3 linked regions of the Diceros bicornis minor genome follow. The protein of the gene in region 2 binds, or shares a complex with, the protein of the main gene of each other region. Links are inferred from orthologs where the notes say so. Each region holds a gene or a part of one and is shown on either strand. Other genes may lie near its edges. The genes, in order: TWSG1, GDF5 and HJV.

The links.
Region 1: the proteins of GDF5 (region 2) and TWSG1 are in contact, whole or in part, in a crystal structure (PDB 8BWL), measured with the Homo sapiens proteins. The link is inferred for Diceros bicornis minor from reciprocal best matches to the Homo sapiens genes GDF5 and TWSG1. Residues at the interface, in NP_000548.2 of Homo sapiens: Glu434, Phe435, Pro436, Ser439, His440, Glu442, Asn445, Val448, Ile449, Leu452, Ser455; in NP_065699.1 of Homo sapiens: Cys26, Lys28, Cys31, Ala32, Ser33, Val35, Ser36, Leu39, Ile40, Cys44, Gln45, Cys46, Arg47, Cys73, Val74.
Region 3: the proteins of GDF5 (region 2) and HJV are in contact, whole or in part, in a crystal structure (PDB 6Z3L), measured with the Homo sapiens proteins. The link is inferred for Diceros bicornis minor from reciprocal best matches to the Homo sapiens genes GDF5 and HJV. Residues at the interface, in NP_000548.2 of Homo sapiens: Met412, Trp414, Trp417, Phe478, Asp480, Ser481, Lys488, Tyr490, Met493; in NP_001366281.1 of Homo sapiens: Arg95, Arg98, Gly99, Leu101, His104, Ser105, His108.

The regions. Positions count from the first base shown.
Region 1 is NC_080755.1:7,358,947-7,366,743, reverse strand, and holds the start of TWSG1 (twisted gastrulation protein homolog 1), read right to left. Parts: upstream 3,024-7,797; 5' UTR 2,862-3,023; intron 1,025-2,861; 5' UTR 991-1,024; coding exon 868-990; intron 1-867. UniProt on the Homo sapiens protein: May be involved in dorsoventral axis formation. Seems to antagonize BMP signaling by forming ternary complexes with CHRD and BMPs, thereby preventing BMPs from binding to their receptors.
Region 2 is NC_080758.1:24,266,941-24,274,888, reverse strand, and holds the start of GDF5 (growth/differentiation factor 5), read right to left. Parts: upstream 3,099-7,948; coding exon 2,474-3,098; intron 70-2,473; coding exon 1-69. UniProt on the Homo sapiens protein: Growth factor involved in bone and cartilage formation. During cartilage development regulates differentiation of chondrogenic tissue through two pathways.
Region 3 is NC_080743.1:53,509,192-53,516,373, forward strand, and holds HJV (hemojuvelin), read right to left. Parts: upstream 2,791-7,182; 5' UTR 2,773-2,790; coding exon 2,676-2,772; intron 2,283-2,675; coding exon 1,714-2,282; intron 1,212-1,713; coding exon 588-1,211; downstream 1-587. UniProt on the Homo sapiens protein: Acts as a bone morphogenetic protein (BMP) coreceptor. Through enhancement of BMP signaling regulates hepcidin (HAMP) expression and regulates iron homeostasis.

The sequences.
Region 1 (7,797 bases), on a different chromosome or scaffold from region 2:
AAGACTGCTGATGGTCTAATATGTTGGGAAAAGAGAGAACAGCTATACAGGACATCAAGTTTACTGCTAATTAACACAACTTTATCGAGCGTAATAACCAGTATGTTTAGTGGAAAGGCCAGAGGCTTTGGAGTCAAACACATACCATGTTCCACAATCACTTACTAGCTATATGAACCTCGCCAAATTACTTAACCTCACTTTTCTCCACAAAAAAAAAGTAAGAGTGGTAGCTACATCACTAGGCTTGCCTCGATGACTGAAAGAGCGATCACTGTCAAGTACCTTGGAAGCAGATTCTCCAATCCCAGCCAACAACTTACCTGCAACCTTGAGAGACCTTGAGCCAGAACCACCCAGATAAACTACTCCCAGATTCCCAACCCTCAGAGACTGCATGAAATAATGTTTATTGCACTAAGTTGCTATGTTTGGGGGTAACTTATTACACGGAATAGACAACTAACACATTATACTTAGGGTAACATTTGTCCATTACTTGACCAGCTAAATTTTTTCCTAAACACAGTAAGTGAGCCCCTTTGCTATGTAAACTAAATTATACAAGGGAACCCTTTAATTCATCTGAATAGAGTGTTCATCACCTTGTACTGGCATGTTTACAAAGCAGGATATTATTCTCAGTACTGAACTTCTTGACTCTGACCTTGCTTGTACGCAAGAGAACTATGTGGGCAAAAATACAAACCAGTGTGTGACGGTTCAGTACCTCAGGCCCTGATCTAATACTCAGGCCTTACACTAAATTATATATATATACTTTATATACATATATACTGTATATATGTGCTCTATGTCTGCTCCACAATATATTTTAATATTAATAAAAAGTACTCTTGGTCCTACCTGAATGAGGCATTTGCTCACATCGCTAGCACAGAGTGCTTTATTACAACTCAGTGACACAGGGACCCATGTCAGGAAGACCAGGATGGTTAGAGTAAGCATAACAACAGAGTGTGACTTCATGTTTCTTCAAAGATAATCAGTAACTCCCAGGAAGCTAAACAAACAAAAAGAAAAAACAACAAAACTTTAATTCAAAGGCAAGTGATAGGGTAAAAGCAAATACAAAAATGAAAAACAAATAAACCAAGACTCATCGTTTGCGTTAGAAGACTTTTAAGTGATCATTTAAAGACCATTTTCAAGGAAAGATTACTCAAAACTCAAAAAAAAAAAAAAAAACCGACAATTTTATATCGTAATGTCTCGTTAGCCATCTTCAAAGATCTAGAATACTGAAATTCCTCAGACCACCCAGAAATGGTGACTGTAAAGGTAAAGTGAATATATATGTCTCTCTCTCTCTCTCTACAGATACATAAACAGATTTACATACATACACACACATCTGTCTATCTATACATCTCTAAACTATCAGTAACCTGAGAGTTTACCAGGCAAATAACTAGTTTCAATACTGCACTGCTACTATTCACCTTTAGTTTTAGGCCCATTATTCAACCTTTAGCCCATAAAAACTATTAATACTGTATTATAATTTTAAAACATTTAACAACATTTTAATTCTTAGAATTAAAACAAATTTTTAAAATGCAAATTATTCTATTGATTATTTATGACTATTTCATTTTGTCTCCTAATATATATTAGCCCAAATGAGGCTGCTCAAAGAAAGGAGTCAACAGCCGTTCCCTGAAATAATTTAGCAAATAACAAAGGGGATAATAAATTATTAATTGCATTAAGAACTCTGGATAATCTATTAAAATGTGAAGATATTCTTTTGATTCTATTGGCATCATAGATTCTTCCAAGTTATGAAGATATTACAGTTCAAAAAGAAAAAGGAAAGAAAGACCAGCACAAATTCTGACAGTGGTTAAACAACCAACATGGTTATTAAACTTTCAAAAAAGAGAAGATAAAACTTCTTGGGGTTAAAACATACTCCCAAAATATAATCAATTAAAGTAAATAACTACTGATGTAAGAGACATAAAAGGCGGGTTTATGGGGCCTTTATGATTACTGTAAACTACTATTCTAAGTATTACGAAGTACAATAAAGCAAAAGCAGTAAGAAGGTGAAAAGAATACAGGGCTCTGTGCCCGGTCTGACTGAATAAAGCCCTGGCGATTGCTACTCAGGCCCACAAAGTATTCCCTAGAGACCGTTAGTACCCCCAACTTTTAAATTATGTAACGACACACACAAGTCGGATGATTTCTGGAGCCACCAGTACATACTTGTCGAGGCAAAAGAAGGCATTTGAAAACTGATTTTTTCCACAACTAGTTTCATCCTACAAACACTAAAAATGGGATTTTTTTTTCATCTCTTAAGGCTGTCTTCTGAAGTGTGTGACAAATCACCCTACTCCCAAAATCTTACTAGAAAAAGTATTCAAGTAAATAAGGGCATGTACAAAGCAGCTAAGAGAATGCTTTAAAGGGCTTCTGGCTTGTTCCTAAGGAGTCAGAAACAGCACGGCGTCAGAACCGTGTTCCGCATCGTGGCAGCGTCTTGGGAGCGCAGGCTCCGGCGCCCTGCGAGCGGCCCCTACGGCAGCTGGCACTGACAGCAGCCTTTGTGCCGCTGGACCGAGCCCCGCGCCCAGCGAGGACGCAGAGGCGACGACGGCGGGCCGAGCCCGGGAGGGGCACGGGCGCTGCGGTGGGGGCGGCGGGGGGCGGCGGGCTCGGGCCCCGCCCGCCGCTCGCGCCCAGCACCCGCCTGCGACCGCTGCCGGACCTCGGCCGCCGCGTGGGCGGGGCCCGGGCCTCGCGAAGCCCTCCGCGGCTCCGGCCTCCCGAGGCCCGAGCGCGGCCCGGCGTCTCCCGGCCACAGTGCCGCCCCGCCCACTCCCGCTCACCGTGCGCCGCGAGGCCGCCTGGCCCTGGTTCCCGGCGGGTCGGCCGAGCCCGGGGCGCGCCGCGGGGCTGTGCGAAGGAGGCCGCCGCGCCCCGCGCCTCCGCGCCGCCCCAGCGCGCAGTGCCCGCGAGCCTCCGGCACCTTCGAGGGGCAGGCGGCGCGCTGCCTCCGCCCGCTCCCCGCTCCCCCCTTTCCCTCCGCCCGCGCGCGGGTCCCGCCGCCGCCAGCGCCCGCCAGGAGGCGTCTCTCACTCCCGGCGCCCCCGTCAGCGCACGCCGCCCGCCGGCCCTGGCCCCGCCCTCTGGTCACGCCCGCCGGCGGCCACACCCCCGGCCCGAGACACACCCACGGCGGCGCCCACGCGCGCTGCTCTTCGGCCCTGTGCCCCGCCCGCGTCTCCGGCTCTTTTGTCAGCCTTCTCCGGCTCGGCCGACCCTCCGGTGAGGCCCGGTGTCTGGGGCTCCTCTGCAACAGCTACCAATGCTTCAAGGCTTATCACGTCCTAGTCACGGAGCTGAGAGCGCGACGTGTGTGAGCTCACTGCATCCTCGCAGCGACCCTGTGAGAGAGCTGTTGTCTGCCCGGTTATGAGGATGCAAGACCGAGGCACCCAGTGCTTGAGTAGCCTAGGCCGTACCCAGTAGAGCGGGCGCTTGAATCCTTGTGACGACGTCAGACGTACGTTTCTGGGTCCTCAGACTTACGGAATAGGCATCTCCAAGGGTAGAGCCTTCAGAACTTCGTTGAGCAGTTCACTACGATTTGCTGGGCCCTTACCGAGTGCCGGCATGGCGCTAAGCGCTGGAAACAGAGGGGAGGAGGCCCCGGGGTGCTGGCCAGGAGGAGCTCACTGCCCTGTGGAAAGCAGGGACAGCTAGACAAATGGCTGCCCCCCCACAGCCTCACAGGAGAGGGCTACCCAAGTATGTATGACACCAGCACTCATTTCAGCCTGTATTTTAGAAAAATGAGTTCCTTCCACCAACCCTTAGCACGTAAAGGCGATTGAGAACTGCACTCAGTTCTTTCCCACAACCCTGGGAATTGCTTTTTAAAAGGATTCCAGAGTGATTAAGTTGGAGCCCGTTAGGCTAGATGACCCACAAGGTACTTTCACCTTGGAAATGTGACTCAGTGCTAAAGCTTAAGCTAGTAGAAGTCTTAAGTGTTTTACATTCCCCTTTGCTGATTAGAAGAAAACGGAAAGAATGCAAAGAGTTGATTGGCTCAGGAGGTGGATTGCATTATTGACAGTTGTCCATTTTTGTACAATAAGCAAATAAGTATACATTTTTAAAATCATCCCTGAAAATTATCCTAAAGAAATAATTGAGTCTACACAAATTTAATTTTAAGGATCTTATTCTGGCATTACTTACTGGTTAAATGAATGATGATATTCCAGCGCAATGGACTAAATCAGCTATTAAAAAATAACGTTGTAGTTCAGCGATTCTCAAACTTTTTGCTCTCAGGACCAAAACTCTTGAAAATTATTGAGGGCTCCAAAGCGGTTTTGTTTATGTATGCTACATCTATCAAAACTTTTAAAATTAAAACTGAGAAGTTTAAGAAATATTTGCTCATTATTTCATTTAAAAATAATAGACTCTATTATATGGGAATATGAATAACATTTTATGAAAAATACATATTTTTCCAAATAAAATTAGTGACAAGAGTGGCATTGTTTTACATTGTGCTATTCTCTTTAATGTCAAACTTAATAGAAGGCAGCTGGATTTTCACATCTGCTTCTGCATTCAAACTGTTGAAACAGCACATAAAACACTGGCCAGCTTAAGCTAGTTATGCTTCCTTAAAACAGATCATTTGAGTCAAACTTTGCTCAATAACAGAGATGGCACTGTGCATGTGCCAGGCAGGCACCCATATCCTCAAGATGACCGTGGAACCAAGAATCTTCCTTCAATAAGGAAAATCTGGCTTCTGGCAGCCCAAGTAGCTTGATTACCGTATATGGCCAGATTTGAGACTAGCCAATCAGCCTACATGGGCCCAGCTGTAGCTGAGTAGCCCCTAACTTCTTAAATTTTGCCCCAAACCTTGGATTGGAGAGACAGGTTTGAGAACCTTGCCTCCTGTCTCCTTGCCAGTCAACCTCGCAATAAAGCCTTTTCTTTTCTCAAAACCTGATGCCATAGTATTGGCTTCTATGTGCCTCAGGCAGCGGGCACTGTTGCAATAGCATGTCCTATGTAGCCTCTACGAAACTACTCTATACTAATGAGAGGAGAATGAAAAAGGCAAATAATGTCTTGGAATTAAAATAAAAATAGTTTTGAGCTCATAAACCCCCTGAAAAGGTCTTGGCACCCCCAGGGTCCCCAGATCATACTTTGAGAACTAGTGTTATTGAATATTGTTGACATGGAAATATATTCATGATATATTAACATTTTAAAGTAGTGTCTATATTTTTAGAATTATTAATATTACAAATTGTGTATGAAATTACTTTAAAAGGCCTGGAAAGAGAACCACGGTGTTAGAAGTGGTTATCTTTTGGTGAGGTTATCAGTGATTGTTGTTGTTGACGATGTTTTTTCTTTTTGCACATCTGCATTTTCCGATGTCTTTGTTTATATTACTTTGGTAATAAGAAAAAAATACAGTTATTTTTAATTTAAATTAAAGATCCTCTTTGATATTCCTTAGAAGATCAAATGGTACTTGAGCCCCCAGGTGGGTATCAAGTGGTTCTGGATCTGTGGTTGGCAGTTTGGGAATCTGAGAGCTGCAGGGGTCACTGTAGTGGCTATTTTATCTTACCAGAAGCCTTTATGATCAATGGAATAAAGCCTCTTAGTAGGGTTCAATGAAAAGGTCAAATGTCACCTAACCTTCAACCAGATGTGTCAGTGGTTGAGACTCTCAGTTAACCACAGAAAGGGGTGTATTAGTTCCCTATTGCTGCTGTAACAAATTATTACAAATTTACTGTCATAACACAACACAAATTTATTATCTTACAGTTCTGAAGGTCGAAAGTCCTAAAATCATGGTATGGGAAGAGCTGTGTTTCTTCTGGAGGCTCTAGGGGAGAGTCCGTTGTCTTGCCTTTGTAGCTTCTAGAAGCCGTCTACATTCCTTGTCTTGTGGCCAATTCCTCCATCTTCAAGGTCAGCAGTGTAGCATCTTCAAATCAATATCCCCCGCCACCTCATTTTCTCTCTCTCTCTGTCTGTCTCTCAACTCTGCCACCATAATCACATCTTCTTCTCTGACCCTCCTGCCTCCCTCTTATAAGAACTGTTATGGTTACATTGCGCCCACCCAGATATTCCAGGATAACTTCCCATCTCAAGGTCCTTTGTTTAGTCACATCTGCAAAGTCCCTTTTTCCGTTCTTATCTCTTTCTACTTGGGTGACTCAGCTGAATTAGGTGATTTGATTTTATAGATTTGAACTAAAGTGAGCCACAGTTTTTCAGCCTCTCATCCTGCTCCCGTGGAAGGGAAGATCTACTGGGGTTGGAAAGCCTGTTTCAGGATAAACTTCCTTTACTCCTTCCCTCTCTCCCCCTTCCCTCTTCCCTCCCTGCTTTGTTATGGGAATTACTGCAAAGCTATCAAAAGAATGGGAAAAGAAAATGAATTTCTTCCAAAGGCCTCTCCACTCTTCCTGTTTCAAACAAAAAGAAATGTAGAAAATCTTGAGGATATTTTTGTTTTGTTTTGTTGTATGTCGAACTCTAAAGTCCCTGGTAGGGGCTGGCCCGGTGGCATAGCAGTTAAGTGTGCACACTCTGCTTAGACAGCCTGGGGTTCACAGGTTCAGATCCTGGGCATGCAGAGACGCACCGCTTGTCAAGCCGTGCTGTGGCGGCGTCCCATATAAAGTAGAGGAAGATGGGCATGGATGTGAGCCCAGGGCCAGTCTTCCTCAGCAAAAAGAGGAGGATTGGCATCGGATGTTAGCTCAGGGCTAATCTTCCTCACTAATTAATAAATAAATAAATAAATAAATAAATAAATCCCTTGTAATTTCCTCTGCAATGACCAGGTTGTTAATCCACCAGGCAAAAGTGACACTCAAGCAGGCTCTTCCCAGGCTCAGGGTCTAGGGGCTGTAGGAGGCCCAGCTTACCAGTCGGGAGCATGCAGACCCACCTGCTGGAGAAAACGCTATTTCAGCAAACATACTTGCAAAGGGCTATCAAGGGCTATTGAGATATTTACATTTGAGAATGTTCTCAAATGCATCTAAGGCTTCCCAAAATCCAATGTTTCCACATGGCTCACTGTTGCCTACCAAATTAGGTCCAAACTCCTTATTTATTTAAAATATGTATTAATTTATTAATTTATTTTCATTTTAGCCTTTTTTCCCCCTTCTGATTACAGAAGTAATACATACTTGGCTGGGGAAAATTTGAAAATTATGAAACTTCATAATGAGAGCCCCTTGCCATTTTAGCCTCTAGAGATTGTCCTTAGTTTCGTGTATATTTCTTCCATCTTTTTTGAGTCACGTATATTAAGATGTATTTGCAAAAAAACTGAAATTATGTTAAGAGTACTTCACTGCAACTTGCTTTTTCCCACTTAACATATCTAGAACATCTTTTCATTCCAGAATGTGTAGATATTTTTGATGTTATACAAATCCTCTCCATAAGGCAAGCTGGTCTATTTTCACACATCATACTTTTCCAGTCTTGTATTTCTGCACATTCTTCTTTTTGCTTGGGACAGGATTCTTACATTTTTTCTGGCTACATAAATCCTGCCACTCTTTAAACTCTGTTCACATATCACCCTATGCAAATATAAAATATCGTCTTCCGTGACTCAACACAGTGGCACATGGTAAGTGCTCAGTCAGTGCTAACTGAATGAATTGATTAAATGAACAACTTCCTCAGCTAAAGTCCCTGACAGCCTCTGGGCTCCTAAATCATTTATTTGCACTG
Region 2 (7,948 bases):
GCCCATCCTTCTCCAGGGCACTAATGTCAAACACGTACCTCTGCTTCCTGACCACAGGACCTCGGTCATCTAGAGAGAACACCCAGAAGTCATTCCCTGCAACTTCACCAAGAGGGCCAGTCATCTCGAGGCCTCAGGGGAGGGCCATAGCTCTCTCTCCTTCAAGAGAGCTTTCTCTAACCTCTTCCCCACTCTGACAGATGCCAAGACCCAAACCACTGAGAGCGAGCCTTTTTCAAAACAAGTGAGCTTCCTACACAGCCGACCAAGTAAGGTTGTTTATCTGTAAATGTGGCTGTGGGTGATTTGAGTGATTCTAGGTGTTTGTGTCAGTGATGCTCCTATCAGAGACCCATTAGCCTTAGAACTGCCTGCTACCTGTCCCTCTCCCATCTGTTGTCTAACATGATATCTCATTGGTGAGATAGGTGGGGTAGGTATTCTAATTACTCCTGTTTTTCCAGAGGAGGAACCTGAGGCTCAGCGAAGTCAGGTGACTTGCTCAAAGTCACTCAGCTAGGATAAAGCAGAGTTGGAACTCCAGCCTAGAGCTTTTTTTTGCCGAGGAAGATTGGCCCTGAGCTAACATCTATGCCAATCTTCCTCCTTTTTTTGTGTGTGTGTCGCAGCCACAGCATGGCTTGACGAGTAGTATAGGTCCACGCCCAGGATCCAAACCTGCGAACCCCAGGCCACTGAAGTGGAGCACACTGGACTTAACCACTATGCCACAGGGCCAGCCCCTAGCCTAGAGCTTTTTATACCCAATCCTGAGCTGCTTCCACGATACCTTATAGAAGATCTTAGTATTCTCGTTTTACAGATGAGGCACAGAGAGGAGGCTTGACTTTCCTAAGGTCACACAGCAAGTTAATGACAAAGCTGCTCTATAATCCAATTTCCCTGGCTTCCCAGTCTAATGATTTTGTTGTGCATGTGTCTTACCCTGCTGGGTATGTGAGTGTGTGTGTGTGAGTGACAGTCTGTGTGCATGTGTGTATTATTGGGCTTATATGTGAGTATGAAATGTAATACATACTTTTTGAGTGACATGTTACGTGCATGTATGATTGGTCTTGTGTGAATATTTGAAGGATGTACATGTATACGTGTGTATATATGTAAGAAGAATCTATGTATATACAAGAAGGTGTGTGTGTGTGTGTGCACGTGTGTATGTAATTCAGCATGTATGTATGGCTGTTTGTGCGTACAAGAAGCTCAGTAGTATCTCCGAATCAGCATGCCCTCCTTGCTAAATACCAATTTGCCATTGGGAAGCATTCATATATTGCTCTAGAAAGTGACTAATTAGGCCTTTAAACTCCCCAACTCCCCCTCTGTCTCCCCCTCTGCAGGCTCCCTTAGTGCTGGGGGGGCACAGGGACTTATTTTATGAGCCCCCAAGGGGTCACAGCGTTCCCTAGCTGGGCAGGCAGCCAGGCCACCTCCCCCACCTCAGCCAGACCTGCTGCCTCTGTGCCTCCCCCGCCCTCTGTCATCCCCCACAGGCCAGCTCTAATGAGGAGCCTCTCCCACTCTCTGACCCTTCCCCCACCCTGCCAGCTAAAGCCCTAAGACTCTGAGAACCAGAGCATACACGCTGCAAGCAACCCTAGCAATCAGTGATCCACCTCCCTCTTCACATCTATGGAGAAACTGAGGCCAGGAGAGGGGAAGGGACTTGCTAAGATCACACAGCAAGTGGAGAGAAAAAGGCAAGACAGTAATGCTAGGTGGACAGAGGGAGAAGTGAGGGGAGCAGATATTCTCCTGGGTTAATGATAAAAATGATATGTGTTTAGGACAGGACATAAAGGTTCCATATTTGATAGGCTCTCAGAAATCTCCCAGTCTAACCCCCATATAGTTGTACAGATGAGAAAACTGAGACCCCCAAAGGGGGAAGAGACTTTCCCAAGGTCACATTGTGAGTTAGATCCTAAGTCTGCTCCCCTACTCCCTGTGTCTAAATGTCGTTCCATGACTCCAAGATGCCTTGTTTACTGTCTTCAACTATCCTGCCTCCTCTGCCCCCTAGCCTGAAAGAAAGTTGCAGAACCATGGGTATCTAGAGATTCATTTCTCTCTCTGCCATCTGAGAAAAACTACAAACCCCTGGAGCCTGGAAAGTTTGGCCAACTCACATAGGAACAGAACATGGCCTGGTAGTCAAGAGTCTTAGAGTCTGGTCCCCAGCTCTGCCACCAACTGGCTGGTCTTGTCTCCTCTCCAGGCTTCAGTTAGCCCCTCTGCAACTTGCAGGAATTGGACTTGGTGATTCCCAGGTGCCCTCCAGCTCTAACATGCCAGCAGCCTGGGACCTGGTATGTATGAAATACGTCCCAGATACCACCCCAGGCCAGATGCACGCACATCTCCCACCAGTGCAGTGTCAGGGCTCTGAAAGGCCCCTCCATGCATGCAGATGCCCCTCCCTCTGAGCCGTGCCCCTGCCACCCCGCCCCCTCACCTTGCCCTTTGTCAATAAAGCTGGTGATGGTGTTGGCCAGGCCAGCCTCCAACTTCACGCTGCTGTTGCCTCCCTTTCTGTCAGCATCGGACAGCGTCCTGTACAGCGAGAGCATGTACTCATGGGGCGTGATGGGGGGCGGGCGGAACGGCTCCTTGGGCTCTCGCAGGGGCCCAGGCTCTCTGGCCTTCTTCAGCAGGAAGGGGCTGGGGACAGATCCTGCCTTTGGGGGTGCCTTACCCCCGGGAAGCTGTCCTTTTGGGGTCACAGTCCGCGTTGCAGCCTGCCTTGTCTGGGGAAGGTGTCCTGGCTTGGGTTCAGAGCCACCCAATCTGGAGGGCAGCTTTTTGGGTTCATCCTTCTTGGGCTGTGTCAAGCCTCCTGTCTGCCCGGTGCCCCCCTTTGCCCTGGCACTAGTGGCCCCTCCACCATAGCTGTGACCCCCTGGCCTGAAGATGTTCCGGGCGAGAGGGGGCCTCTCCTTGGCTTCTGCTTTGGCCAATCCTGGCCTGGCCCCCTGGGGTCTCTGGCCCAAGTCAGGGGCACCCCACACAGTGCAGATGAATTCCAGGTCCAGCCAAGCCAGGTGCCAAAGCAAGAAAATGAGGAGTTTGGGGAGTCTCATCCTCTGGCCAGCCGCTGAATGACACCAAAGAGAACGGCGGCAGCAGCGAAGGTGCCTCTGGTTTGGCAGGAAAAACCATGAAAGGAGTGGACCCTCAAAAGCAGCAGCAGCAGCAGTAGCAGCAGAAGGAAAGGCTTTCTCCTCAGTCTGAGACTCTTTAAGTCTGCCGGGCGTGTGTTTGTATCCAGTCCCATAGTGGAAATGCTCTCGTATCCAGACGTGCACCGTCTCCAGTCAGCAGCTGAAAATAACTCGTTCTTGAAAGGAGAAAGCCGACCGCCCCCTTTCTCCTGCACAACTGACTGAGGGCTTGAAGGAGGCTTGTATAAGGCTGAGGGATTTTTCCAAGAAGGAAGAATGGCGTAATGCTGCCTGTGTGCTCCAGTTTTTTTTTTTTTTTTTTAAGTTTTGAATCCTTTCCAGTGAAAATACTTACACACACACACACACACATACACACACACACGCCTGCAGGTGCTCAGAAAAATCTTTTACAAACCTGAACTCAGGAATTGAAAACGGAATTCCAACCCAAACCAATTTAATTACTCTCTGATGTCATGCTGTCTAAACTCATTTAAGTGCGATATATTTATGTGAAAAAAATCACTGCTGCCCTTTCCAGGCCGTGGCTCATGGGGGCTCTTGGCACAGAGCCCCACAGCGGGACTCCGAGCTTAGGGGGCCTCTCAGTCTGTGGAGCCGACTCAGGGGTCTTCACCTCCACCTCACAGGACAGCCCACCCCACCTTCCTGAGGAGAGATGCTGAGGAATGAGCTCAAGGATCTTAAGCCCCCGAAGCATGGGGAGTGTGAGTTTTCAGTTAAGTCCTTGGGGTGTTTTTAAAGTAGTTTCAACCCCTGCATCTAGTCTGGGGCCTGATTTGTTGTTGGTGGGGGTGGGCAGCACAGATGGCAGCATTTACCCACAGTTTCTTTTATTTTAATAAACTTACGGTGACCCAGAGACAGAAGAATATCGGTACCCACTACCCTCCTCCTCCCGATGCCATGACTGAGCTCAGATCATTTCTTCAGGCTTCCGGGGGGCACTGCCACCCCTGAGCCCGCTCCTTGAATGGAGGCAGGTCCAGGGTCTACCTCACCACCACCCCAGCAAAGACAGACTCAGAGTTTTGTTGGAAATCACTGGCTGAGTCCAGAGGTGGCAGCCCCAGCTTGGGGCAGCAGCGGCCCCTGCAGGAAACTGGAAAAATGATTTCCCACCTGATGCTTTTCTGGTAGCTCTGGAAGAAGTCTGAATTCCAGCTGGACTCCTGGGAGAAAGGTATTTCCTTCACCTGCAATACCCTCCTTTTACTCCCACAACTGCAGAAGTCCTCCTCATCCTGAGAGCTTAAGCTGAAATTCACCTCCTTCTGGAAGCCTTCCCTGATCCCCAGACAGAGCCAATTACTCCTTCTTGTACATTTTATTACAACACTTGTCACACTGTAAGAAGTACAGCCACAGTAGAAGCAGTAGTCAGGTGGGCTTCCTTCTTAAGCTGAGATTCTTTGAGCCTACCTAATAGAGATCTGTTTGTACTCTAAACCTGGTGGACTCTAGATCAGGTGTACTCACCAGATAGGTTTCCCAGCATAAACTGGCACAGAGTAGGAGCTTAGTAAGTGTTTGATGAATCAAAGAAGATGAAACTCACAGCTGGGGTGTCCAGGTGCCTGACTAGCCTTTTCGTGGTGATGCTCCCATATCCTCACTGATCTTCAGAGCACAACAGCATAATTTGTCCATTTCAAGCTTCATCTAGGGCTCCTAGGTCAGAAAACTCAGTAGAGCTCCACCTCCCATCTCGAAGGACCAATGCACCACCAGGCACTTTTGTGGGGAGCTTTAAGGAAGAGCTGAATTCATTGCTATCCCTCCAGTTGCCCAGATTCACAACACTTGGCTTTCCTTTTGACCTGTCCCACTTTAACAGTCTTTTCTGGCATTCCTCCCTCCTCTCCATCCCCGCTGCCTCACTGTCTCAGTCCTCCTCCCTGCCTGTCCATCTATAATTCCCTTATGCCTGGCTTCCAGGTCTCCAGGATCTCTGTCCCAACCCTCCCTCTCTCTAAAACGTACCCATTGAAAAGTGCCAACACATGCGCCCTCTCCTCCATGAAGCTTCCTCTCATCCACCAGAAAATACACACTCCTGAATTGCCATCATTTTCTGTACCCCTTTCCACTTTGGCAGCTCAAAGATTATTCAGTTCTGCTTCTGCCCCATCTCGAGCACTGTTCATTTCTTCCACTCTGTGTACTTTTTTCATATTTTTAAAAACTATAACTTAATTCCTTATAACTGTAATAATTTATTTACATGTCTGTTTCCACCATTAGATTATGACTAGACTGTACCATATTTATCTTTCAATTATTCCCAGTGTTGGGCACAGGGCCCAGCACATAGCAGATTCTCAGTATGTGCTGTATGGATGAATGAATCTCTAACTGGCCCTTATATACAAAAGCCATCATTTTCTACTCAAAAGCGTAGTTACTTGTGGACATATCATGCCTTCCCCGCTGGGCCCTGAGCTCCTTAAAGGCAGGGGATTCCATCTTGCCACTTATTAGGCACTTTGTAAGCTTGAGTGAGTGAATAAATGAAGGGATGAATGAATCAAACAACCAAGATGCCCCTACACATGGTTGATCAAGAGCCAGGACTCTGGAGACAGAGCTGGTTTTGAATCCTGGTTCTGCTATATGGTTTAGTGCATTATGTGATCTTTGGAAACCTCTAAACCTCTTTGAAACTCTGAACACGTATCATGACAGTACCCACCTCACAGGGTTTTTATGGGGAGTCAATGAAATGAATCATAAAAAGTGATTAGCCTAGCACCTGGAAGATAATAATTGCTACACTTTATCGAGCACTTACTCTAGTAAACTAGACTCTGGTCTTTGTATCCCATGGCATTTTTATCATATTTATCTCCACAACAATCCTATGATGAAGGTACTCTTAGTACCCCCGTTTTACAGATGAAGAGATCAAAGTTCAGAAAGGTTAAATTACTTTTTAAGCCTGATTCCTACTTTGACATATTTATACAAAAGAATCCTAACCTGGCTTCTAGAAACACAAGAAGTGAAAGGGTGGTGGGGGCAATTACAGTATTCTTGGCTTTCAGTCAAGGTCTCATCCAATGGGCTGGGACCTGGGGACATGGAGGAGTCAGTCTCAGAGCAGGGGCTATTGTTTGAGGACCAGGGAGCTCCAGAGATGGGGTGGGAGCAGGGAAAGGGGATTCTGAGCTTGCTTAGAAGGCCCTCTCCAGGGAGGAGCCCAGGGGACCAGCCTGGCTCTCACTATAAAGGTGACTAATCACTTCGGTCCCCTCTGGTAATTGCAACCAGATGCTGCCGCTGGCAGCACTTCAGTCCCAACATGTTTAATTACTGGGATGCAGAGTCCCTCGGTCCCACATGTCCCCCTACCTCCTCCTCTCCTGTCAGCAATATTAATGTCAAACTTGAGGTGGAAGATGGGAGCCTTGGGAAGCCACTGGCGTGGGAATAATCTTTACAGTCCCTTCTACCATGTAGACCCTCTAACTCTTATACATGTTTCCCCGTCAATTATCTCATTGGCACGCCACAAAATGTCCTCATCAAGTCGGCAGGCCAGAGTAGTATTATCTCCATCTCATAGATAAGCAAACAGTGAACTGAATAATAATAATAATCCTTTGCTTTTTTTCAAGGACTTAGCAATTTTCAAAGTGGTTTCAGAACTGTTATGCTATCTGAACCTCCCGAGATCTCTCGGAGTCAGTCCAGCACAGCACAGTGGCTCACAGCAGAGGCTCCAGGATCAGACAACTTGGTTCATCCTGGCTCTGTCACTAACCAGTTGGGTGACCTTGGGTATTCCTTCATTTATGTACTTAATTATCCAGCAACTATATATTGGGTGCCTGACATGTGGTAGGTCTTGGGCCTGAGCACTGGATATCTAGCAGTGGACAAGAGCACCAAGTCTGTGCTCACATTCCAGTGGAAGAGACAGACAAACAAGCAAACAAATGCATAATTTCAGAGAATTCTAAGTGCTGTGAAGAAAAATTAAGCAGGGTCAAAGGGATGTCTATTTTAGATAGGAATGTCTCTTTAACGAGGTGACGTTTGAGCAGAGAGCCAGATGTAGTGAGGGAAGGAACCATACAAAGGTCTGGAGGATGATCATTTCAGGTGGAGGAAACAGCAAATGCAAAGCTCCTGAGACAGGAATGTGCTTGGCACATCTGGGGAGCCATGAGAAGTTGGTGCAGCTGAGGCAGAGCGAGTAAGTGGAAGAGTGAAAGGAGATGAGGTCAGATCATGCCAGGACCACATGGAGTATGGCCTTGCAAGCCAGAGAGAGGATGTTGGATTTTATTTTTAGGGCAGTGGGAAACCCAATGGAGGGTTTGAAGCAGGAGAGTTGTCTGATTTGTAACTTAATGATTAAGAGCTGGGCTACCTGCCTTCGAATCCTGGCTCCCTGATTCATCAGCTGTGTAATCTCAGGCTAATTATTTAATCTCTGTGCCTCAGTTTCCTCATGTATAAAACGAAAATAATAATAATATACCTACCTCATAGAGTTGTTATTAGTTAAATAGTGAGTAAAGTTCTTAGAACAGTGTCTCATGCATAGTAAGCACTACATAAATGTTAGCTGTTATTTACATTTAAAAAATATCACTTCTCTGAACCCTGTTTCTTTACCCGTAAAATGAGGATAAAAATATCAGCTTCACAGACTGGTTATCAGAACTAAATGTATTTATGTATATAAAGTACCTTTCTTTCAGTGACCAGCATATAGTAGGTGCTCCATAAATTATAGT
Region 3 (7,182 bases), on a different chromosome or scaffold from region 2:
ATAGCTTCCTTCCTATCTGTGCCGTTCTCCAAAGGCAGAGATTCCATTCACCTAAGATCCGGACAACCCCCACTTCATTTCTGAACCAAGAAAGCAGAACACATCCTGCCCACATATGTTCATCAAATAGACTCTTTTCCCTAATCATTTCCTCCTCTTTCCATCTTCCAAGAGAAAAGATCATTAGATTTTGAGTCTCTTATAGGTAATGATCATGTCTTCCTCTTTCAGTTCTCCCCTCTTAGGAGTCTCAACCCTTAAGTTCTACTGATCATCAGGACCCCTATAACCTCTAAGCTTGTAGGGGTGATCTCAGGAGTAGATGGACTGGAACAATTCAATTACTATAAATAGGACTGGAAAAATTGGTGAAGAGCCCCCACAGAGGTCTGGAATGCAGTAACTTTGCCCCGAATCCTTATTCTGTGATCATTTCAAACCTGGACTGCAGCCTTATCTGACTCTGGGTAAATGTCATTGTTTCATGTGTCTCCTAGTCCAGTTTCCTTCAGTGATTCTTTATGTTCTTCCCTACCAATCTCTATCCCCAAATAATTTCTAAACCAATCATGGGATTGCTGGCCTATCTATTGAATGCTAAGCCATAGAACAAAGAGCCCAGAAAGGAGTGGAGCTAGGGGGGTTGCTGAGGAAAGAGGAACTCCGGTATCTGAGGGGAAGAGATGCAGCTTTTCTAAGTCTGGTAGGAAGGCTCTGGCATCCTCCAGAGCTGCCTGAGCTGCCACAGTAAAGTTGGGGTCACCAGAGATTGAAACATCAAAGACACAGGAATGGAAGTAAGCGTCTTCAACTGGCAGCCCTTCCTTGCACAGCTGTCTGGCAGTATCAAGTGTTATAGCTCCCCGACGATTGCGCTCTGAGCGAGAGAGTCGTTGACTTGGGGGGCACCCCCCAACACAGAGCTGCAGGTCCTGCTCAGCTGAGAAGGCCCTGGCTACATCCTCTGCTACCTTGATGGAGAAGGAGAGTTGCCCAGCTGTCTGCCGAATGATTATAGTTGTGCCAATATAGGCAGCTCGAATCTCCACATGGCTCCCAAGGTTAGCAGTTCGAATGGACAAACTTGAGCCCCCAGGTCGGTCACCTCCATTGATAGAACCATCTTCAAAGGCTGCAGGAAGATTGTCCACCTCAGCCTGGTAGACCTTCTGATCAATGCATTCCTGCATGTTCTTAAATATAATGGTGAGCTGTGAGGGCAAGAGGGAAAACAGTTCATTTTGGGCTCAGTGCATCCTACCCCCTTCCCCCAATTAGGCCTCATACATAGTCAGGGATATGATCCCAGTAGAGATGCAAGGCTTGTTCTGGCTCTCACTGCTTGATCCCTTCTTCTCTTTATGTTCCAATATTGCCTCATCCCTGGTCAACCCTTCCCTTCCTTTTTGGTCTCAATCTCAGCAATTCCCACAGGAGAAGTAAAGTTTCCCTTCTCTAACTTCTCAACCCAGGGCTCCTCAGCTCTCCTCTCCCCAACCTTCTCTTCAATGTTTTCTGCATTGGAGTGAAATTCCCACCAAGGAAAAGTGATTTACAGGAGCAACTGTCTGGCAGGTGGGAGTGATTCAAGATGTGGGAGTGGTTGAGGAAGAAAGGGAATAGGGAGCATTGCTGTGGAATAGTGGGAGTGGGATGGGAGTGGTACGGTGGGGTGACCATGAGAGGGTCTGGAGGAGCCGTTGAGTCCCTGACCTTCCGGGTGGTGGTGGCGTTGGCCCCCGATGCCACAGGGGAGCTGGTGGCCTGGACAAAAAGGAAGTCATTATCCAGCAGGGGCCAAGCTCCTTGGACACGGCACGTGTGAAAATGGTGGTGGAAGCTGCGGACGTGGGGGTCCCCGAAGGAGGCACAATGCAAGAAGCCCGGGGGACGACCGTGCAGCCGGGAAAACCGGCCTTCATAGTCACAGGGGTCCGGGGCTGGGGGGCCAGAGGAGCGGATGGGGCCTTCGCCTGGAAGGGCTGGGCCCCGGGGCGGGGGCGGGGCAGTGGGGCCTTGGCGGGAGCAGTTGTGCTGGATCATCAAGTCTTCGATGCCGTGCACAGCCGAATGGAAGGCGAGGTCCCCGCGGCAGGTGCGGGCTGTGCGCCGAGTGCAGAGGGCGTAGGAACGGAGGGCTCGACAGAGGCCGATGGAGCCCACCCCTCCACCCCGGCCTCCTCCTCCTCCTCGAAGCGCTCCTGGTGAACCCCCACCTCTAAGGCTCAGGGTGGACGACACGTACTCAGCATTGCAGCGGAGGATCTTGCATTGAGAATGAGCTGAGATGGAAAGGAGAGGATTGTGAGATGGTCCCCAGATCCGGGCTCTATCGGAGTATGCTCTCCCAATCTCAGCAGGGGATTCCAGGCGTTCCTAAAACCCAGCTGAAGGCCTTCCCCAGTCCCCAGCCCCCAGGTCCCTAGTCCTGTCGTCACTCTGTCTTGCTAAAAATATGTAAGACTGCTAGATCTTTTCTCCCTGTCGATCAAAGGCTTTCCCAGAACCCTTCCCCAAGATGAATGAGAAACAAAATATACCCATTTGAGAGTGGGATGAATGACAAGGACTCCTCAGCACCCATCTCTTCTCACTCACACATGCTTACACATGCCCACCCCTACATAGCAGCCTACCCTCTAGATTCCCCAAACCCTTCCCTAGCCCTTCCTTACCATGTCCACAGAGGAGCAGCAGGAGAGTGAGAGTGCTTAGAGTTGGGGGACTGCCATGGGTGGACCGGGGACTAGGGGACTGGCCTGGATCCCCCATACCTATCCAGCCAGGTCCCCCCAGGCTCCAGTTCTTTCCAGCTGATGACCCTCCTACCTAGTGAATTTTGACCGGACGTCCTGTAAGGGACTGAAAAAAGAAATTTGGCTGGGCATGGGGAGAGAGAAGAGTTGAAGATTGTTCAGGATGATGTAAAGAGAATCTGGGGAGATCAAGTAAAGAATGAGCAGACTGGAGTTTGGGGAGAAAAGGGCTCCCGAAACTGTAAGTGTGGCTGTTAAGCCTCTGTGCCCTGCTCTTGTGGCCACTTTCAGGTCCCTTATGCAATACCCCTAGGTGGGGGTGGAAGGAAGGTTGAGTGGACTCAGGGAGCAGAGTCCACTGTATTGCCCCATCCTGAACTACCAAATAGCGGAAATGTCAAAAAAGGAGGAATCATGGGGATAGATCAGATCCCAGTCATCCCAGTGGGCTCCCCAATAGAGTTAGGATCTGAAAATACTTCAGAAACATACCTCTTATTTGTCCCTCCCCATCAGGAGGGGACACCCTCTAGGGGTCATTAATTTCTTTTCCTCCTTTGTGTCAGAATTTTCAGCAAGGAGTAAGACTGGAATACCCATCCCCTCTCTAGAACATCAGTATTCAAATGAAAAGGAAACGGATTTCTTTCATCTACTCTAGAGAGCTGCAATTATAATCCTTCTCTCTCATGGAATAATGGGATGCAAACCAAGCATGCAAATCAACATTTGTTTGTTCTGAGTCAACAGTTCTTGAATTTTTCCAAACCTGATTGAAGAACCACTCTTTTCATTAATCTTCCCTTTGCAAATTCAGAAGTTCTCAATCTTTTTATGAGGACAGGGCTTGGGGAGGCACTAACCTCCTCCTGCCGAATTCCCCACTCTTGGGGTAAGGATATGATTGGGGGAAGAGTCATGCAGGAGGGAAAATAGGATGGTGGGACTAGAGTTGTGAGGAGAAATCATTTACAACAAGGAGTAGCCCCCACTCTTGGAAGTCCATTGTGAAGGCCACTGCTAAGCAGGGGCAGGGTAGAAGGGTATCAGTGACTAATCATCTGAGGTTAAATTTGGTCTTGGTGAGAAAACCACAGAATGGGGGATGTGGGAATCTCCTCCTAAAGAAGGAGACTTCATCAGAAGTCTTGAGGTAACAAGGTAAGGAGAGAGCTAAGACTGCCTAAAAAGAGACTGAGGATTAAACTTCAAATGGCCAGAGGCCAGAGGCCAGAAAGAAATAAGACAGAAGGAGAAATGGAAATTGGGACACCTTAGTATGGAAGAAATCCTAGCTTTTGGACCAGAGACATCCACATAGGTGTCGTAGTTTTAGGAAAGTCTAACTTCAATCCTAAAGCTTATTAAAGGAATTGCAATTTCATTTTCACTTACTGTTTCCAGAGGTCAAACATTACTCTGATATCCAATTCTCCAGCCATGACTGCCTACTCTGTCGGTCAGCTCCAGCCAGGGGATGCCCCGTCTCTTTCTCCATGTCTCCCACAGGTCCTCAGACTGGCTGCAATCTCACTGAGGTCAGGGAGCCAGAGAAGGTTTGGTGTGGGGGAAGGAGGAGTATATGGCTGGCCGGAGTACTGGACAGCTGAGCGGGGGAGGGAGGTGGCTACTGAGTTGACTGTTTTAAAAATAGCTAAGTCCAAAATTCCAGGAGTGTTGGTGGGGGTAGGGTATGGGACTTGGGGGAGTGGGGAGGGTAGGAGGATTAGAAAGAATATGGCGTATAGGGTACCAAGTCGGGGAGGGGAGACAAATATTACAGGCAGGTCAAATACCCAGTTCCAGCTTATATGACTCTAGTCACTGCCTACTCCAGGCAGCCCTCCAGCATTGTCAATAATGAGCTCCTGGCCTTTAAAAATTAGAGTGGCCAATTGTATACTTTTCGTTCACCCTCATCCCTGCTATATTGAATATCGCATTTAGTTTCTATAGAACGTATCTAGGAGGTAGCTGACTTTAAGTAAGATCCATAGCAGAGGTGGTTCACAGCCCCTCCCCTATTTTTGCAGAGTATTTCAGGAGGACTAAAAAAGCCAGCTGTCCAGAGAAGAAATCTGAGCTCTGAGTTGTTTAGGATGAGGGTTTGTTTCAGTCTACCAGGTCAGATCCTTGCAGCTGTCTATCACCCTACCTCCTCCATTTTCATTCCCTTAGTTTATACAGCAATTCCCCTTCCCTCCCTCTCACCAATAAACAAAAAAATAAAAAGCTCCTAAGTTGCTGGGAGAGGAGGCTAGCAAAGGCGAAGAAGTGAAGAAAGAGTAGAGATAGAATGTTTTGATGATTACTAATCTACAGGGGAGCGGGACTTGGAGAGACAAACTGAGAGAAAAAGAGACTCAGAAAGGTAATTTTGTGGAGTAACATAATCTTGTGACCTTTTAAGATGTTGCAACCAAGGAATTTAGCTATGTCATATTTTTGCAGCCATAAGCATCTGGGATCATCTCTTAGTACTTGCCAAGTGAAATTAACACAAGGGCTGATTCCAAATAGTGTCAGTAAGGCATCTGCATTAATTGGCTCTACATTTAATGCAAAATCTAGAGGCCCACACAGTACTCTTCTCGTTATTATACATATGTATTTGACAAATTTAGTTTTTTTCTCTACCACATGAGGCCATATCACAAGGGCTTTTATTACAAAAATGTAAAATGCCCCCAACCAAACTTCAAGTGACTTTAAAGCACAATAATTTGACTATGGCATCCCAAGTGGGATATACTCTAAGGACAAAAAGAAGTGTAAAAATATTTTAAAGTAGTCATGTTGTTGGTGGTTGTGTTGGTATTGTTATTCTGAAACTATTGTGAGTGTATTGTGGGATAAAACAAATGAATAATAATGTTAGTGTCTTTGTGAACCAGGATTTTTGGTGTAGAATAAAGAGATACAGATTTGTGATGGAAGAAGTTAACTAAAAACTGTATAATTCTGGATTTAAATTGGAAGTATAACTGTGAGCTCATGGTGTATTTTATCCTAAAACATTTTCTATCTTTATCCTGAAAAGGCCTAGAAATGATAACTCAGTAGCAATGAACACCCCTAGTGTCCAAATTGAGCTATCTAAATGCCGTTTCCCACTAAAAGGAATTCCTTGGAGAAATTTCAGGTGTGGGGCAGAAATTGTCCAAGATAAGCAAGGAAGCTTTCAAAGGCTATTAGGAGTGTACCAAAAGGACTCAGAAGCAACTAGAATAGTTCCCACTGGCCAAAGATGGGACAATTTGAGTGTGAAAATGGATACTCTCTGCGATGGATTTAAACATATCAAATATATTCAAATCTATGTGTTCACATTGATGCTTAAAAATACAAACTCGTTGGTCATTGTTGGAGAATGCTAGAGGATCAACTCATTATTTTGAAGATTGCTAGTAATTGGAAGGAATCGGGCATTTATCCTGTTTTTCCTGTGGTAATTCAAGACAAGAGGAAAATTTCTCTTTGTAGAAGTTTTCCAGCAAATGAATGAAGAAAGAATGGCATAATTAGAATATCAACATTTCATAACTCCTAATGAATTAAGGTATCTGGGCAATGATCAACAGCGACTGTTATCCATTACAAAAGGAGATACAAACATTATGTTCTTCTGATCATAAGTAGAGTACACAATTCCACCTACGAAGTAGCCTTGCATTCTGAATCTGATCAACCTCTAGACTAGAGCTAACTACTAATTTGGAGGAAACACAGGAGACATCAAGTGATACCTCAGAGATGCAAATCCAGAGTGTGGGAATATGCTACAGGACAAATGCCCTGGGTTCTTCAACAAATAAACTGGAAAAAAAAGATGGAGAGGGAACCTATAAACTAAAAGAGACTTGAGAGACATCAAACAGTTGTAGAGTATGGACTTTATTGGATCCTAAATCAAGAAAAAAAAATTATGAGACAATTAGGGAAATTTGAATGCTGATGAACACTCACTGAATACTTGGTGATTTATAAGGAATTATTGTTAAAGTTGTTGGTGTCATAAATGGTACTTTTTTTTTTTGTGAGGAAGATTGGCAACAAGGTTGGCCCTGAGCTAACACCCCATAAATTGTACTTTTTAAAAAACAAGTGCTTATCTTTTAGAGCTACATCTTGAAATATCTGCAGATAAAAAGATAGGATAGGGGGCTGGCCCCATGGCCTAGTGATTAAGTTCCGTGTGCTCCGCTTCAGCAGCCCAGGTTCGGTTCCAAGGCGCAGACTTATACCACTGGGCGGCAGCCATGCTGTAGCAGCGACCTACATGCAAAAGAGAGGAAGATTGGCACAGATGTTAGCTCAGGGTGAATCTTCCTCAGCAAAAAAAAAAAAAAAAAAAAAAGCATACGTAGGATTTGCTTTCAAATAGTCCAAGATGGGGGAGAAGTGAGTGGGAGTAATGATAAAACAT